Canis lupus familiaris: one gene and its partner. The protein of the gene in region 1 interacts with the protein of each later gene in a pairwise test. Links are inferred from orthologs where the notes say so. Each region holds a gene or a part of one and is shown in the gene's direction. Other genes may lie near its edges.

Region 1 (9,522 bases):
GGAGTGGGGATGAGAACAAGAGGAGAAATCCCCTGGGTGAGGGTGAGGATTGCTCATGTTGCTGCCGGGAGGGAGAAGCCAGAGTCAGCTCTGCTTCTAGAGCATTCTGGTGTCCTTTCCAAAGTCCTGGAGGTGGCCGGGCGCTCTGTGGCTGGGTTCGGTTTCGGGGACAACATCCAGGAAGGCCTGCACCTGTGACACATGGCTGCACCCTCCTCTACCTCTAGCTCTGATGGTTTGTCCCTCGGGAAATTTACCTGGTATCCCCCTCGGCATCTGCCCCCACCCCCGGCCCCCTCTCTGGGCAGCCGGACCCCTTAGGGCACCGTTGGCCTGGGGATGAAGGGGGGTCCTCTATGGGGTTTGGGGGGGCCTGCAAGGAAGTTTGAGACCTAAACGTGTTTTCATTAGCTCCACAATACCAAGATATAGAAAACTGCAACATTAAAATCAGTAAATACAAAAATAAATAAATAAATAAAATAAAATAAAATCAGTAAATATTTAATTAAATGCAAAATGTGACGTTACGTCAGCTTCATTAACGGCTGGATTTAGTAGTCATGAAAATTTCATCACGTTTGATGACAATTTGTAGGTTGGAGTCTCCTCGCTGTGCAAGATTTCCCAGGTAAAGCACCAAGAGCCGTAAGAAACGAGAGCCGACCGTAGATTAAATAAATCACTCATGGCCAAACATTTTCAAAAGCAAAATGGCAAAAATCCTTTCAATTTTCTTTTCCAGCCAAAAAAGTTATATTTGTGGTGAGAGGTGGGTGTGTTTAAACTATGTTAGATGAGGGATAGGGCCCTCCAAGAGGAAGCTGGTTTTGGCCCGTGAAGGTCTTAACAGAGCACAGGCTGCACCCACCACCTGGACGTGTTCCCCACCCTGGCCGGCAGGTGACAGCGACCAAGGCCCTGTGAGTGAGTGGAGGCTTCGGCTGGGGAGTAGGGAAGGAGAGTTGCTTCTTCCTGAGGTTTTCCTGCTTCCAGACTGAAAACCGAGGCTCTCGGAATCCTAGATAATGGTAGCTAACATTCACTGGCCCCTGTCCTGAGCTCTGTACCTGTCACAGAGCAGCTCCACGAGGTCAGCATTTTATTGTCCCCGTTTCACCAGATGAGCAAATGGGGGTATACCGGGGGCAAGCAATCTGCCCAGCATCATGAGGGCAGTAACAGGCAGTTTAAGAATTTGTTCAAACCAATCGAACCCACCGTTCAAGGTGCCAATGGCGGCCTGGTCCCCGCATTCAACGGTCGCCCATTCCACGGACACCACTCCATGTGCTGGGCACCGAGACGCCTGCGTGCTGCAGGGGCACCACGACATACATTGAGCAGGACCCCAACAGGCTCTGATGTCCCCAAATCTGCTGTGTGCCAGGGACTTCTGGAAAGCTTCGCTCCCTTCGCGCGCCTATGACGACGTCTAAGTTAGAGGTTTTATTCATCTCTTCACCCTGTGTCTTGCACAATCTTGGCCCGTGGCAGGCGCTCAAAAATGAACAAAGCCTGGAAGGGCTTAGTTGATGACTTGAGTCTGTCCCTTCCTCACAGAGCAATTTCCCCAGTGCAGCTCAAGTCCTCCCCTCCCTACGCGTTGCACAAAAGCTGTTATTTAGAAACCCCGGTAGCACACATTTCAGCGTAATCAACAAAGGGACGGATATACGGCACTGCTGTGCGTCTCTTACGGGCCACGCGTCCCGTGTGTTAAGTCGTGACTCAGGAATAGCACGTCCACCATGATTCTGCAAAGCAGGTGTTCTTTGTTATCATCCTGTTTTATAGATACGACCAAGTGTTAGGAGCTAAATAGTGTCCCTCCAAATTCATATGTTGAAGCCCTAACGACCCCCCCAAAAAAACTCAAAATATGGCTCTAGGTGGAGATGGAACCTTTAAAGAGTGATTAAGGTAAAATGAGACTCTGGATTGGCTCCTAATCTGGGATGACTGGGGTCCTGATAAGAGGAGGACAGGTGCACCGAGCGAAGACCATATGAAGGTACAGGGAGAAGCCAGCCAGCCAGGAGCCCACGAGACGCCCTGCCGACACCCTGGTCTTGGAATTCCAAGCTTCCGGAACCGGGAAGAAATGCATTTCTCGGGTTTAGCCTCCCTTCCTGCGGCATCCCTAGAGAACCAACAGGCCAAGGCACAGGGTAATCTGTCGCCAGAACCCATGAACTCAGAAGTCGAGTCCGGGTAGTCTGGCTCTAGAGCCCATGTGTCTCATGACCACGCAGATGCCCCCCACGCAGTCCAAAATGGCAGCCGCGAGCCACATGCGGCATTTGAAATGTGGCCGATGTAACTAAGGAACTCAGATTTTAACTTAATTTACATTAAAATAGGATTAAAATGAAAATAGCCATATGTGGCTAGCAGCTACCATATCAGACATAGTTTTATACTATTTCGAATTACTTCGCTTATGTTTTCTGCAGAATCTTCTGGAAACCTCAGCTGTGTGCTCCAAGAAACATTCCCTATCCCTGCTGAATTTTATTTTATTTTATTTTTTTTTCAATCCCTTCCAATTTAGCCCCTGTTGCCTAGCCTCCTGCTGTGGGGGGAGAAGGAACAGGAGCGAGTGAGCTGGCTAACTTTCCAGAATCCTGTGGCCGGGGCAGGGCCGGGCTGTTGGCCTTCTGCTCTAAGCATGGGTGTTAGCCAACCAAATGCCAAGCAGCACAAACACTGAGTGACATTTTCAGAACTATTAATATTTCATCAGAAATGATCACTTTTCCTTTAAATACACTATCTTAAAAGGTTTTCTACATTCTTAACTATAATTTTATTCAGTCTAGGTCCTCAGAATTTTCCCCAAAGGAGCACATCTTCAATTTTATAATGAAAATCAAAGGCGAATGAAGCTCGGATTTCAAAATTGAGAGTCAACATTCCCAGGAACTCAGGCCTTCTTTAAAGAGCAAAGCTGTGTATTGGGCGCCGACTGTATGCCAGGTACTTTACAAATGATATAGCATTAATTCATCCAACATGTATTTGTTGAGTGCCTACTATGTGCCAGAAATGTGGTTTTCATAAGAATTTTCAACACCATTTTATAAAAAAAAAAAAAAAGGATTCTCCTTCTGTCTCATCTCCAATGTTACACCTGAGCTCCTCAAGGAGGCCTACCTGGCCATCCATCTGATGCTGCCACCTTTCCCCTCCCCCTGTCCTCCCCTATGCCTTCCCTCTACCTGTTGGGGTCCTTTGTCCAGTCTTTATAGGACAGGTGACCAGGGTCCTAAGGTTCCCCGGGTGAAGAGCCAGACCAGGGCTGTATTTCTGCTGCCTCTTTACTGGCCCACGAAGGGGACATTTTTCATTCTGCATGGACCACCCAGTTGTCAATCCAAGGCCCTTGAAAACCCACACTGGCCTAGGCTGAGGGTCGGATGCCCGTGGCTTTCCCTGGAGGCCACTCCGTGATACTTTCCCTTTTCTATGCCCAATTCGAGGCACTGGCACACGTGGTGATGGTTAGTTTCCGTCAGAGCCCTCGTTTCGTCTGTAATTAGTGCTTATTTACTTCGCTAGTGTGCGATCTTTCTCCTTACACTAGAATACAGGCCTCAGGAGAGCAGGGACCGTGCCAGTTTGCTCACCTGCATGCGTCCTCGGTGCCCGCATCTCACCTGGGGTGCTCAGCCAATCCTGGGGAATGAAGGAAGGAAGGCGCATAGGGGAGGTTAAAAGAGGGGTTGGGCCCCCCCAGCCAGGAGGTGGCCGTGGCTGGTCTCTTCCCATCCACTCTTCTCCCAGTCATCTGGCTCGCTCTCCCTTTCCTGGGTGGACCCCTGACCCCCGGGGCCGTGGAGCCCTGGGCAGGCAAAGTGCCGCATCAGTTCTGAGTTTAATGAAGCCCATCCAGGGAGAGAGGTGAGCTCACTGGGCCGCAAACTGCTAACCTAGCCCTTCTCTCTGGCCAGGAGCCCCTGACCCCACTGCCCCCCGCTCCCCCTCCACCCTGGGGACCTGCTGAACCCAGCTCAGGAGGGATCCCTAAGGCCGTGACGGTTGGGTGGGGCCTGGAGGGTGGGGGCCTGGGTGTGAATCCCAGCTCCTGTCTTCCTGGTGGGCTCTGGACCGACCCCCTCTGACCCGCAGACTGCGTTTCCTCCAGGCCCCACCGGTAACAAAGGTACTAACTTCACGAGCTTGGTGGGTTGGCTAGGACACGGGAAGCCCAGAGCTTGGCACACGGTAAGCGCCCCCCAAAAATGTCAGTTTGGGTCCACATCGGCGGTTCCGGGCAGGGCCCCCGGCAGGTGCAGAGCTTGTGCATGAGCGGCGGGCGCGACGGGGCAGGTGCAGGTGCAGGTGCCCCCGGGTCGTCCCGGCCCCGCCCCCACCTGCCCGGGGGCCTTGGGCGCCGAACCCCGAACCCAGCGCCCGCGCTCCGCTCCGAGCCGTTGCGCTTGGGCCGCAGAGGAACCCGGCGCTGGGCCCAGGGTGTGGGCGCCGGCAAAGTCGGCCCAGGCAGCGGGCCTGCGGGCAGGTGTCTGCTGGGGTAACGGGGGGGGGGGGGGGGGGCACCCCGGGGTCTGCCGTCCGGAGCCCCAGGGCGTGGGGGCGGGGTCCCTGGGAGGCCCCGGGACGGTGGGCGGGACCCCGAGGGCTGACCCCGCCCCTGCCGCGCCTAGCACCTGCCCCCGGCCCTGACCCAGCACCTGCCCCAGGCCCTGACGTAGCACCTACCCTAGGCCCTGACCTAGCACCTGCCCTGCACCCTGCCCCAGCACCTGCCCCAGGCCCTGACCCAGCACCTGCCCTGCACCCTGACCCAGCACCTGCCCCGGGCCCTGACCCAGCACCTGCCCTGCACCCTGACCCAGCACCTGCCCTGGGCCCTGACCTAGCACCTACCCTAGGCCCTGACCTAGCACCTGCCCTAGGCCCTGACCCAGCACCTGCCCTGCACCCTGACCCAGCACCTGCCCCAGGCCCTGACCCAGCACCTGCCCTGGGCCTTGGCCTAGCACCTGCCCTGGGCCCTGACCTAGCACTTGCCTGCCAGGTCATGACCTAGCACCTGCCTGCCGGTTCCTGACCTAGCACCTGCACCAGGCCTTGACCCAGCACCTGCACCAGGCCCTGACTCAGCACCTACCTGCCAGGCCGTGACCTAGCACCTGCACCGGGCCTTGACCCAGCAACTGCCCGCCGGGCCCTGGCCTAGCACCTGCGCCAGGCCCTGACCCAGCACCTGCCCACCGGGCCCTGACTTAGCACCTGCGCCGGGCCCTGGCCTAGCACCTGCCCACCAGCCCTGGACTGGGCTGAGGGCTGCAGGTGTCACGGGGGCGTGGCGACGGGACGGCGGGGGCTGCGGGGAGAGCCCGCCCTCCCCCTCCAGCTGTTCCCAGATGTCATTCTGCCCGCCCAGGCACCCGGTTCCTGAGCTCAGGGGGGTTCCACGGTTACTAAGCTACTGGTTTTTGTTGACTTTCAAATATTTTCTTCTACGGGAGAGGGGGAGGGGGGCAAAAGTCAGAAGAGAGCAAATAAAAGCAAATCAAAATAAGCTCCCCCTCCCCAAAAGAGAGCGGTGCTCCATCCTCCCCTCACACCCACCGCGAAGGCCTCTGAGCACAGCCACCTTGCTGAAGCAACAGCCACGCAGAACTGACCTGCGTCTGCCCATCCTCATCTCCCTCTCCGGTGAATGAGGGGTGGTGGTGGATGGTCCCCCTGTCTTCAAGCCCTGGGCGGACGAAGGGGCCTCCGGAAAGACAGGAGGAGGATGGCCAGTGGAAATGGGCTCCCTTCATCCTCAGCCCTGGTGGCCAAGCGCCCCTCCGCCCTGGGCCCATTCCCCAGATACATCTGGATCCACCAGGACACACCCCAAGACAGCTTAGACAAGACTTGCCACGAAATCTGGAAAAGAGTTCAAGGCCTGCCCGAGGCCTTGCAGCCCAGGACCGTGAAGGAACAGCTCTCTGCCCCGGTGGCTGGGACTCCGAGAGACAACGGGCTCAGCTTCCAAGAAGGGTGAGTGTCCCCGTCTGTGGCTGGCACCAAGGGAGGAGGGAGGAGCCGAGGTCCGACCTTCTGGGGGAATGTTCTGGCCCGTTGTTGAGTCTGGTTAAACCCTTAGGCTGTATATGCCTTCTCTCCACCTGTTGGGGTCCTTTGTCCAATCTTTATAGGGTGGGTGACCAGGATCCTGAGCTTCCCCGGTGAAGAGCCAGACCAGGGCTGTATTTCTGCTGCCTCTTGACCAGCCCACAAAGGGCTGGTGTTTTTCCCTTTGCCCAGGCCACCTAGGTGTAGATCCGAGGCCCTCGAAAACCCTCACCGGCCTAGGCTGAGGGTCGGATGCCCGTGGCTCTCCCTCCAGGCAGCTCTGCGATACGTTCCCTTTCCCGCTCCCAGAGGCTAGGCACTGTCACAGATGAGTCTGGTGGTTTTAAACCACATCTGGAATTCCCTAATACAGGGAGCAGCTGTCCCATTCAGCCTCCACAGAAGCCGCTGCAAGAGCGCACATCAAAATATTTACTGGGAAGGCATTGACATATTCAGAGGGCACAATAGAAAATTAAAGTGCGGGAGGATGGCTGTAAATAGCCCTTTTCCTAGTTGGGGAATCCTGTGCCTGGGAAACACAGAGCTCAATGTTGGGCAGATATGATTGGGGCTGGAAATTCGCAGGGAAAGGAAGGAGAGAGCGCGTCAGGAAAAGCGAGCGAAGCGCCACGGCCGTCAGTGCCACTGTGAGCCCCCAGTCATGTCTGGCATCCTCAGAGTGGGCTGCAGACGTTAATTAATCCTCCCAGGGTCCCTAGGAGGCAGGTATTGGTGTCCCCATTTTACAGATGGATTAAGTGTTAATAATTAAGTGCTAATTGAAGACTAAGTGATAATTAAGTGTTGCCTGCTCCAACACATGCTCCAGTTCAAGTCGGAGATGCCGGATGTGGGGTGGGGGGGCATCCAGGCAATCACCAACGATGTCTGGTTTCGGGGATTTCTAGAAAAGAGCTGGGAAGAAAGGCGAAGTGTGTGCAGGTGCCCCAGGTGCACTCCCTGCTGTCCCCTCTCGGGCTGCCGACAAAGGTGGAAGGCACCCGGCTGTCACTGCTCACCCTGCCCTGTGCCCAGCACCATGCGGCTGGAATGGGAATGGCCCGTCTACTGGCCGAATCCTGCCGCCAGCCCCCCAGTGGCGCTGAGCCCCCCCTCTGCTGCCCATTGCCATCTGCTCCGGGATGGAGCCCTGGCAGGGGGCCTCGGGGCTGTGCTCAGCACTCGGTGGCCAAGACGCTGATCGTTCACTTTGTGGACCAAGGGTCAGTGGCAATTTCCAGTAGATGGCACCCTCTCTGCCAGGTCACACTGAGCTAATGGACACAGGTCTGCTTCCAGTCTGCGCTTGGCCCCAAAGTGAACTGGTGCACCTTTGCCCAGTGGCTCAACTCCATCTGGCCTTGATGTCTTTTCATCTGCAAATTGAGGGTCATCTGCCCTGCCTGGTCCACCTCAGAGCTGATAATGAGGATCACAGGCCTCGGAGACAGGAGCCCCCCCCACCCCCCCACCTCCAAAGCTGCATTATGCAAAGGAGGCTGTCCTCACACGGAATTCTCAGAGCTTAGGGTTTTTTTGTTGTTGTTGTCGCTGCTGGCTTCAGTCGGGGGTTGTCACACTCTGCTCTTGGACCCTAAGGGGCTTCAGGGGCCACCCTAGAATCAAGGGGCTAGGTTGCTGGGGCACCATACCCACTTTGGCCAGAGGGCTTGCTTGGCTTTTTGGGGTTTTGTTCCCTGGAGTTTGCAGGAAAAGCAGCATTTGGAAAAACAACAACAACAAAAAAACAATGGTTTTGCCACTGAGAAAGCTCAGAAACCCCCGCCTGAGATGAACACCCCATGTCAGAAGTGTGTGGCCATCACCCAAGTAGAACACGAGGGGCTCTTGTTGAAACCCAGGCAGCCGTGACGGCGGAGCCCCGTAGCTGCTTCAGATCGTGCTGTGGGATTTAACCTCTGCGAGCTTCAGTTTCCTCATCTGCCACGTGGAGACCATCTCCACCACCGCAGTGGCCTGTTGGGATGATTCAGCGGGATATTTAAACGTCCCTGGCAATAATGGTAATAACTAGGATCCGTATAAACTCCTTGGGACAATAACGATGACGATGATGACTTTAAATTATTATGTGAATTATTATGCAATTATTATGTGAGGTTGGTACTATTTTAAACTCTCCCTCTTTTTTTTTTTTTTTTACTTTTTATTATGCAGATGTTCCCATGTATACAATAGAATAAGGTCTGTCTCCGAGGTTCATGAAGTGTCACATTTGTGCCATTCTCGGTCCGATTCCTCCCCTCCCCGGGGTTTTAATGAAACCCGTTTTGCAGAGGAGGTCATAGGCTGGGGGGTTGGGGTCTCTGCCCGGGGCCCCGGTGGTTACAGGGTGCTGGGGTTTCAGAAAGCACACCCAGGTTCACCTGAGCGACCGTGCTGTAGGGAGTGCGGGCTGTTCCCCGGAAAGTGGAAGCGGCGTTTGGGTCCTCACGCCACCCGACAGCCTCGTGGGCTGGATGGTCACACACAGATGGCGGGCTTCGAACCCAGTGAGCTGCCCGGTGTGTCTGCGGGATGGCTGCAAGCCCCTGAGATACCCCTCAGCACGTCTTCCCACTGCTTAACGTGCAGACCCGGTTTGGGTGATGTTTTCTGCTAGATAAGTAAGTTTCAGAACCCCTGTTGGCCAGAAACGTCTTGTGGACTCAATCCCTGTATATCACAAAATCCCAGATGTGTCAGGGTTGAAAGGGGTATCGGAGGCCGTCTTCTGCTGCTTGAATCCCTCAACATCCTCGCCAAGGCGTTACCCGCCCGTACATTTTCTTAGATGACAAGCTCACCACCTCCCGAGATGCGAATGCAGGCTGTCAAGGGACCGTTTCCTTCCTACATGGCATCTGTCTCTATCAAACGAACACCCATGGATCTGGATTCAGATCCACGGGCTTAGGGCTGCAAGCTACGTCAACCCCCTCGTTCTTCCAGCCGCTCTTGAGCTATTAAAGGATGGCGCCGGCGTCCTTCCTGGGATTTCTGGTTTCCGTAGCTGATCGTTGCTGGTTTCCTAAGTTTCCCTTCCCGCGCCAACCCGGTCAGCTTTCTACGCTCACTGTGGTCCCCGTGACAGCGCAGTGACCGGGACCGAGCACGGTAACCCAGGGGTGACCCCAGTCTGTGCAAACTGGATCGTCTCCGTATTCTGTGTTCATGCTAAAGCCGATGAATAGGACGCATTCGCTCTCCTCCACGAGCCAGCTTCATAGTGTGCGCACATTCTGAGCTCGTCCATTCATCCATTCATTCAGCTATTAACTCAGCAAATCCTCAATAAGCGTCAACTGTGTGCCCGGCAACGCGCTGAGAAGGAGTGGGATGGAGCCCCGGGCTGGGTGGGGCTTTCCGTCTGGGAGCTTCCTCTCAAGCTGGAGACAGAAGCAGAAAGCAAGTGAACAAGATGCT
Region 2 (9,524 bases), on another chromosome or scaffold:
CTGGTATCCTCAGTGCTTCAGGCCCGGGAGGGGAGGGGTCTTGGCTGTTCCCATCGCCCTGGCTCAGCCCAGCGGCTCGGCCGGATGCTCCGCTCTTTAAAAACGTGCGGTGGCCGAAGCCCTGAAGACTCCAAGCCCCTTCTTGCGGCCCTCCCGTCGGCCCGCGGCTCCCTTGCGGGTCAGCGGGGTGAGCGCGTCCTCACCCTGCTCTGTGGGCCTGTCGCGTGCGGGTGTCCCGGGTCGGCTCTGGCGGGGGGGCATGCACACGCTGCAGCAGGAAGGGCGTCCCCGCACGAGCGCATCTTTGCCCGGGCCTGGCTGCGAGCGCGGGGGCGGGGGGAGGTCCCCAGCAGGGTCTCCTAGGACTGCTCCTCAGAGTAGGGCTCCTCTCATCTCACTAAGGGTCCTTGGACAATAGATTCATACCTTTTAAAAATTTTTTTGCATTAAAATATACATTAAAAAATTTTGGGGACGCCTGGGAGGCTCAGTGGTTGAGCATCCACCTTCAGTCCAGGGCAGGATCCCAGGGTCCCAGGATCGAGTCCCGCGTCGGGCTGCCTAGGTGGAGCCTGCTTCTCCCTCGGCCTGTGTCTCTGCCTCTCTGTGTGTTTCTCATGAATAAATAAAATCTTAAAAAAAAAAATTGCCATCTCAGCCATCAAGCATCCAATCCAGCATCACCCAGCACGTTCCTTGCGGTGCGGCCCCCACCCCCAGGCTGAGGCTCTGTCCCCGCCCTCCGTGCCCCCTGCGCCCCCGTCTCTGGGAAGGCGACCCCGCGGGGACCTCATGCACGTGGCATCACGCGGCGCCCTTCCGTGTCTGGCTTCTCTCCCTCGGCCTCGTGCCCTCGGGGCGTGTCCGCACCTCTCGAGGCTGAGAGACGCTCCTGCGTGTGGCCAGAGCTGCCGTGCTCCTCCTTCAGGTCCGTCTGTGTGGGACACTCGGGTCCCCACCCCCTCTGGGCGCCTGTGAGCGTGTGATGCAGCCCTGCCCCCATCCTGGGGGGCACTCGGAGGGGAGACCGCCGGTAATTCCATTTTTAATATTTTGAGGAAGCTTGATGCTGTTGTCCACGGGGCTGCACCATTTCACGCTCCCAGCAGCAGCGCCTCCAGTTTCAGAGTCCTCCCCAGCACGTGGTATTTTCTTAGCTTTTTTTTTAAAGATTTATTTATTCATGAGAGACACACAGAGAGAGAGAGAGGCAGAGACGCGGGCAGAGGGAGAAGCATCCGTGTAACACTCCAGTGACAAACGCTTCCGTGGCGGGAACCTTCTCAAACCCCGGCTGCTCTGGGACTCGCTGGGGCAGGCTCCGAAATCCGCAGTCACAGCAGCAGGGCTCCGTGTCCCTGACCTGCCATTTGTGCAGAGAACACATCCCCAAGATCTGGGTGGACGTTCGTCCTCCGTATGACTAGGGAGGTAAGACAGGCGTGTCCCCCCGCCCCCCCCCCCCGGGATCCCGCAGTTCGGCCGAGGCCCGAGCCCTCCTTCCCGGTTGCACAGGGTCTGCGACTCCTTCCTCGTGTTTGCACCACCGACGCGCCCACTTTGCGTCCCTGGGTCCTCCTCGGCCTCCCTCACCGGCCCTGTGGCGAGGGCGCCCGGCCAGAAACCACGCTGCTCTGGATTATGCCCCGGATGTTTGTGTCCCCAAATTCCTGTGTTGAAATCCTACCCCCCACTACCCCCCGGTGTGATGGTGTTAGGACGTGGGGCCTCCGGGGTGAGCTTAGGCCTTGAGCTTCGCCACCGGGATTGGTGCTAAGTGGTGACCGTCCGCTGGCCGGGAGGTGGCTCTGCCAGGAACCCCTGCACCCGGGTCCCGGATCTGGGCCCTCCCGCCTCCGGACCCGTGAGAAAGGAGCATCTGTGTGCCGCCCAGCTCCCCGGACGTGTCACTCGAGCGCATCTGGAATCCCACACCAGGTCCACGGGGGTGTTCCAGACGTCTGCGGGCCGGCCCCTCACTTTGTCCCTGTGACGTCCCCCAGGGCACATGCACGTGCTGCTGTCTCCCAGAACCATTATTTGTGATCTAGATCTAGAGAAACCCTAGCTTTTTTTTTTTTTTTTTTTTTTTTGTCCTTTCAGTGTAACAGTGGCTCTGTCGCGGTGAGGCTCATGTCCTCCTGGCCCATGACTGGGCCACATGCAAGCCCCGCGGAATCCCCGGCTGCGTCCTGGTCCTCTTCCCGGCCTCCCGCATGGACGCACCCGACATGCAGGCCCTGGGGTTTTTCTGCCCATAGAGAGAGTCACACGTATGTCACACGTGGGACAGCAAGTGGGCGCCCCGCACCCTTGACTCTGATACAGCCCTTGTAGGACCCTTCCCGTCTCCCCAAAATGTGGGATCTCGGAAAGATGGGCAGTGGCCGCACTCCCTGCTGATTAGCGCCTCCCTCCCCATGTCCCTGGACCCTGCCGCTGGACCCCCTGCTCCACGGAGTGCGCGGGCAGGCTGGGTGCCCCCATCACCCCGCAGCCTGGAAACCAGCCCCCCAGCTGCACACTCACACCAGGTTCTCTCCAGCAGGAGCAGCCGTGGGGGAGCCGGAAGGGCTGCGGCCCAGTCTCCTCCTGGGGTGGGTGTGGAGGAGGGGCCTGGCGCAGGGCGGGCCTCCCTGGGCCTTGTATCTGGGTTGGCCGGGGCGGCGGGATGGAGCCCAGGGGGCGGGCTGAGGCCCGGGAAGGTCTCGTCCAGGGAACGCGGGGGGCGGGGCGGCCGGGGCCTCCAAGTGACCCAGGGCGTGCGCTTGGGGAGCCCCTCCCCGCTGCAAGCAGGTGCGGGATTCGGGGGCAGGTCAGCGGTCAGGGCCGAGGCCACCCCGCGTCGGGTCCTGAGCCTCGGAGGAAGGCGGAGGCCGCGCAGGGCCCACCCCAGGGGACACGAAGCCCAGCCCCACCCCTGGGGGACAAGGGGCCGCAGCCCAGGCGGTGCGGAGGCGCGTGGTCGGGCTGGGAGGGTGTGGGCAGCAGGACCCCTGGGGAGGACCCTGGCCCGCCGCGGGAGCACCGGGTGCGCGCTGCTCACAGGTGGGTGCAGGTGGGACCAGGACGCAGAGTCCCGGCACCTGTCGTGTCCACCGGGAGGGCGCCCCTGGAGCCGCGCACAGGACGGGGGGTCCGCAGTGCTGACCCCATCCCCGGTCCGAGAGCCGCGCAGCCCCCACCAGCTGGGCCTCGGTCCCCAGGGGCAGGACGGCGTCCGAGAGCAGGGGCCTCTCCGTCCAGGTCCAGGCCAGCACCGCCGCCCGGGACGCGGCCACCGGCGGACCACTGCGCTGACTCGGAGGCGTCAGGCCCCCTGACCCTTCCCGGCGGGGTCAGCGCCGCCGTTCCCGCTGTGCCCGCCGGAGGGCGGCCGGGGGTGTTAATCCGGGCCCAGCCGGAGGGGCCTTTGATCCCACGGTCCCGCCCAGGCTGGCGCCAGCGCCCCCAGGAGTCGGCCGGTGGGCTAGGGCCACCACACCCAGGGGGCGGGCGTGGGGGGGTGGGGGCTCCGGGCTGCCCCAGGTCACCCTGGACGCCGAAGGCGCTGGCCCTCGGTCCCGTCCTGCAGAAAGTGGTGGTGGCGAGCAGCGGAGGTGGGAGGGGGCTGGGTCCCCGGAGAGAGGACAGGCCTTGAACCCGGGCTGCCGCGTCCCTGGCGGCTCTGGGCCCCGCTGGGCAGTGGGGCGGCCCTTCTCGGCAGCACCGGGCTGCTCCATCCCTCCCGCTGGGTCGTCCGGGAGCAGCAGGGCGGGGCCGCACTCCTGAGGGCAGACACCCCTCCTTCCTGCCACTGCAGAGTGGAGGCGGGGGTGGGGGCGCCGAGTACCGTCTGAGAGGGAAGGGCCGGTGGGTGCTCCCCGGGCAGCAGCACCCACCCTGCCCTACGTTCCTCCCCCCGCCGGACAGCCTGAGGCAGCGGCACCTGCTCTGGGAGCCCCCACCCCCGCCGGTGATGCTGCTCCCCCTCCGGGAAGCATGCCCTCCCTCAGGTGGGCACACCTGCCGCCTTCGGCACCGCAGACCCCGCGGGCTGGAGAGGAGGCGGCTCCTCACCCCGAAGGACAAGCCTCCAGCTTGGGTGCTCAGCTGGGAGGGGCCACCCGGTGGGGGTGGGGGATGAAAGGACGTGACCAGCCTCCGCCCGGGCTCAGCCCCGCCCCGCCGCAGACATCTCGGAGCCGGGGGAGGTGTGAATGGCCTCCTTTGTGCCTCTGAATCGAAGGCAATTAGGTGCTACTTATCTGGGGGTGGGCGAGGCTCTGAGCGGCTACGCAGGCCGGCCTCCCACCCGCCTCCTCCGGAGCTTATAAACGCTAAGGCGGCGGACGACCTGGTGCCTTAGCCGCCGTCGGTGCTGCGGGGACCCTGTGCGTCACCCCCTCTGTCCTGTGAGCAGCCATGTCTCCGTCCCCTCCCCTGCCCAGCGGCCGCGGGCCGTCCAGCTTCGGCTCGGTGGACTGGCTTTCCCAGAGCAGCCGCGGGGGGCCGTCACCGCCCTCCAGGCCCGCTGAAGCCCCTCGGGGGGGTCCCTCCGCTCCCGCCAGGGGGTGCAGCAGCGGGGAGCCCCTGCACGGTGCGGGCGTGGAGGAGGCCAAGTCTTCAGAAGCGTGTGCGCCCCGGACGCCCACGGCTGGTAAGGCTGGGGCGGGGGGTGCCTCCCTTCGCAGATGGGAGCCGGGAGGGTTGGGGGGAGGCCTGGACTACAAAGCCACGGGGGCGGGGTCTCCTGTCTTTAGGCCCCCTGGGGCTCCCCACCCCCACGTCCTGGAAGGGCTGGCGTGTGGCCCTGAGCCGTGACACGGTCATTTCGCACCGTGGGGGACCCGGGCTTCCGGCGTGCGGTCGGCCGTCGGGGCTGGACACGCACGTCCTGAAGCTCACAGAGCCCGCCCACTGGGCGCCCAGGCCTCGGGACTCCGGCCCGTTGGCGGTGCACCGGCGGCCCTGCGGGGTGGCTCGGGGCGCCCTGCTGTCTGCACCTGGGAGCTCCGGGCCTCGGCTGCAGGGCGTCCCCCTGACCCCTTGCCGTTCACTGCGGAGCGTTTCTCGGTCTTTGTGACGTAATCATTGCTTTTAGGTTTAAAGCCCTGCGTGGTCAGGGCAGCCCGGGTGGCTCAGGGGTTTGGCGCCGCCTTCGGCCCAGGGTGTGATCCTAAAGTCCCGGGATCGGGTCCCACGTCAGGCTCCCCTCATGGAGCCTGCTTCTCCCTCTGCCTGTGCCTCTGCCTCTGTCTCTCTCTCTGTGTCTCTCGTGAACAGATGGATAGGATCTTAAAAAAAAAAAAAAAAAAAGCCCTATGTGATCAAAAGTGGGATTGATGTTATCTGTTAAATTCATTTTTTTTAAGATTTATTTATTTATTCATGAGAGACAGGCAGAGGGAGAAGCAGGCTCCATGCAGGGAGCCCGATGCGATCTCGATCCCAATTCCGGGATCGCGATCTGAGCCAAAGGCAGGCGCCCCTGTTAAGTTCATTTTTGAACGAGTTTGATCTTAGGGGAAAATGCTATACTTCAATGAAGTTAAATTCTACGTTTATTCTCTGCAACCAGTGCCCCCTCCCCAACAAAACCCAGCCAGTCATCCCTGCGCCCCGACCCCTTACACCCTGCCCCCGCCCCCTCCGAAGCAAGGGTCGCTCCTCTGGTCCCCTGCCTGCTTCCAGGGAAGTGTTAAAGTCATTGGTAAGCTCTGCTCCCCCCACACCAGCACTAGAGCCCGTTGGCATTTGGGTGAGGCCCGACCAGGTAGCCGAGCTCCGCACACCAGCGCTCGCGCCTCCCGCCGCCTCCCGGCGGACACACGGGCGCCGGGGGACACTGCTTGAGTGTCTGACTCTTGGTTTCGGCCCAGATCCTGATCCCGGGGTCGGGCTCCAAGCTCAGCAGGGAGTCTGCCGGACGCCCCAAGGGAAGGAAATCTTAAATCAATAAAAAAGGACTAGACGCAGACTTGCCAGAGCTTCACGTTGGGGGCGGGCAGCCTGGGGGCACCGCCGTCCTGGGCGAAACTGCTGGGGGGCTGCAGAGCTGTTCGCCAGGCGCCCTCCTCGCCCTGACCCCAGCCCACACTCCAGCCGGCAGAGGAGGGGCCTGCGCCCTGACGCACTGGGTGCTGAGGCCCCTCTATCCCGCGTGGGCCGACGGCTGGGCTGATGGCGTTTGATGGCGTTTGATGGCGTTTCCGTCCTCCCTCAGGGTGGGGCAGGGACGGGGACGGCCTGCGGGTGCCCCGCGTGCGCACGGCCTTCACCGCAGAGCAGCTCAGCACCCTGGAGAGCGCCTTCCGGCGGCGCCGCTACCTGGGCCCCCTGGAGCGCCGGCGCCTGGCCCGTGACATGCGGCTCTCTGAGGTGCAGGTGAGCCTCTCGGGGCTGCAGGCGAGGTTTGGGGGTGCAGGTGAGGCTCTCGGGGCTGCAGGCGAGGCTCTCGGAGCTGGAGGTGAGGCTCCGGGCGGCAGGTGAGGCTCGGGGTTGTAGGCAAGTCTCTCAGGCTGCAGGCGAGGCTCAGGGGTGCAGGTGAGGCTCAGGGGTGCAGGTGAGGCTCTCAGGGCTGCAGGTGAGGCTCTTGGAGGTGCAGGTGAAGTTCAGGGCTGCAGGTGAGGTTCGGGGCTGCAGGCGAGGCTCTCCAGGGGTGCAGGTGAGTTTCTTGGGGTGCAGGCAAGGTTCTTGGGGTGCAAGCAAGGCTTGGGGCTGCAGGCGAGGCTCTCGGGGGTTACAGGTGAGGCTCAGGGGTGCAGGCGAGGCTCTCGGGGCTGCAGGTGAGGTTCTCGGGGGTGCAGGTGAGGCTTTTGGGGGTGCAGGCCAGGCTCTCCGGGGGTGCAGGTGAGGGGGGCCGGGCCTGGTGGGGGGCAGCTGTTCCCGTCCCTGCTCTGATGGAGGTTTCCCCGCAGATAAAAACCTGGTTTCAGAATCGCCGGATGAAACACAAACGCCAACTGCAGGACTCGCAGCTGAGCAGCCCCTTCCCCGGGGGGCTCCACCCTCCAGTGACCTTCTGCCCTCCGCCCCCTGCCCTGCGCAGGCCACTGCGGCTGCTGTGTCCTTGGGCGCCCCCACTGGGGCCTCCAGCTCTGGGGCAGCCCCCTGGCCCCTTCTGGGATCTCTGCCGGGTGGATCGAGCCTCCGTGGCCTTGGCGTGGGCCTCGTGCAGCAGACAGCCTCCCACGTGCTGCCTCCCGGACCCGGGGGGCCAGGAGCTGGGCCCGGCCTTGGCCTTGTCCGGGGTGCCCCGGGGCCTGTGTGCCCTGCCCCAGACCGGGGATGCCTTCTGAGGACGCGTGACAGCCCAGCGGCCGCCGGGAGCGGGAGCAGAGCGGGGCCGACCTGCCGTCCACACGGCGCGGGTGCGCGCAGGGCCCCGCATCTCCCCGGGAGACGTCCACCCTGCGAGCCCTGCGCCCCCTCGGCAGCCGGGACCTGGAACCCCCACCCCACCCAGCTGCTCCTTCCCTGGATACTACAGGCTCGGTTTAAGGACTCGACGAGGGGTCGGGGGACAAAGCCCAAAGCCGAAAGTGGACTTTGAAACGTTGGGCTCGTAGCCTGTGATAGGAGAGTAATTTATTCAATATAAAGTGTTGGAAAAAATAAAGCTGCGGGGGCCTGGCCCGCTCTGATGGTGGAGGCTGAGACTGTTGATCTTGGGGCTGTGAGTTCGCGCCCCACGGCGGGCGGAGAGCTTACCTAAAAATAAAATCATAAAAAAGATTTGGATACTTCCTCGTGCTGCGTGCTAACAGCCTCGAGTGCAAACGTGGAAATGTCACCAGGTGCATCTGCGTGGTCCCTCTGCTCTCGGGATCCGCCCCCCCCCGCAGCTTGGGCATCCCGCGGCTGAAGCAGCAGCTCACTCCGGGCAGCGGACACCCCTGGGCCTCCTCTCTGTAACCCGAGCGGCCTTCATGACCAGCAGTCGCCCTCGGCTGTGACCAGCACAGGACAGCCGGCTGGGGCTCAGCACAGACCCAGGAGCCTGTGAGAGAAATAGTCTTTTTGCCAAAAACCTACATTCCAGTTTACAGAAAACGGGGGCTTTATAGTGGATGCCACCTGGTGCTCCTCGGAGGTCGCTTGTCCGAAGGGCCGGGCGCCACAGGCCTCCCCCACCTCCCTCCGCGGGGGGCCAAGCCTGGGCCAGGAGCAGCCCGGTTCCCTGCAGGTCTCACGTCTGAAACACCAGGTGGCCGTGGGGCCAGGTTGTGGGTCCCTGGGGTGGAGCCTGTGTCCAGGCCGCGGGGCTGCAGGGACGCTGGCTGGGGGTGCAGGCCCAGCCCACAGGCCGAGGGCCCCAGGCGGTGAGGGGGGGGCACCCCCAGCCCTGCCAGCAGAGCGGAGGTCACGGGCTTGCTGAACACACGCTGCCCCTGCCCCTGCCGGGCCTGGCTTCAGGGCACCCGACCGGTGAGAACACGCAGCTCCTGGCCTGTGGCACGATTCTCCGCACACGTTCCAGTCCGGGGCACCCGGGCGAGAGGGAGGACTGTCCCCGGGACCCCACCTTCGTCCAGCAGCCATGGCCTGAGGGGCAGCGTGAGGCCCCCATGCAGCGGCCCTGGCGCCCCCTGCAGCCCCCAGGACCCTCCCCCGCACTGGGCAGGTCGTGGATGACTGGGAACCCCCTCCCCAGGGAAGGCACAGTGTGGCTCGTGGGCGAGCCCCCCACCCCACTGCTCGCAGGACGGCGGGCGTCCCCACACTCCGAGGGTGTCCCCGCTGTGGCTGCGGCTGACACCAGCCTCAGGGACGGCTCTGCCCCTCCCCCTCCCCTTCCTCCTCCCCCTCCCCAGAGTGGCCTACGGGGTTGGGGGGGTCAGTCGGGAACCCAGAGGGCTCTCCTGGCCGCACTGACTGGTGCTGGGCCCCGGGCCGGCACCTGCACCCGAGGTCTCCTGGGGCCGCCCACCCCCCTCCCACCGCGGCCCTGGGGGGAGGAGCCATCAAAGGAGGGCAGGGGGCGCCGGGCGCGGGGCCGAGGGGCCGGTCTGCTGGGCGACTCGCCAACCAAGGCCCCACAGTCGCCATGGAAGCTCCTGTCCATTTGTCTACACGGGAACCTCAGGCCCCAGGCTCCAGGGACGCTGGCCCCCACCCCGGTCGGCGGATCCCAGCCCTTCCCCGGGGTCGCACCTGCTCCGCCCTAAGTTCCCCAGAGCCCGCCCCCCGCGCCCCCCACCCCCCCGGCAGCCAGGAGACAGCCCCGCACCAACCCAGGGGCTTCGGTTCAAACCAGTTATCAAAACAATCACATTTAGGTTCCCACGAAATTAGCTTTATTGACATTTCTGATCAGAACATGAACGACACTCGCGGTTACAGGCCTTGACCCAGCGCCCCCCGCCCCCCAAGCCTCTGCGGAGCCACCCCGGCCCCAGCCCCCCGGCCTGCCCCCCACCCACGTCCTGTCCCAGCAGCTTCCCCGGCTCTGGGCGCTCCCTGGCCCCTGGGGGCAAAGGTCAGCCAGGGCCCAGCGCCCGTCCAGAGCCCCCGGGGCCCGCACCAAAGCCTCGTCCTGCGAT

Evidence for each region.
Region 2: the proteins of C15H1orf94 (region 1) and VENTX interact in binary tests that used the Homo sapiens proteins (3 or more experiments, as listed by UniProt). The two-hybrid records come from large-scale screens. The link is inferred for Canis lupus familiaris from reciprocal best matches to the Homo sapiens genes C1orf94 and VENTX.

Annotation. Positions count from the first base shown.
Region 1 is NC_049236.1:7,757,476-7,766,997, reverse strand, and holds the start of C15H1orf94 (uncharacterized protein C1orf94 homolog), read left to right. Parts: upstream 1-4,416; 5' UTR 4,417-4,522; exon of another isoform or gene 4,523-4,534; intron 4,535-5,041; 5' UTR 5,042-5,689; coding exon 5,690-6,018; intron 6,019-9,522.
Region 2 is NC_049249.1:41,344,710-41,354,233, forward strand, and holds VENTX (homeobox protein VENTX), read left to right. Parts: upstream 1-4,404; coding exon 4,405-4,639; intron 4,640-6,205; coding exon 6,206-6,366; intron 6,367-6,899; coding exon 6,900-7,280; 3' UTR 7,281-7,716; downstream 7,717-9,524. UniProt on the Homo sapiens protein: May be involved in ventralization.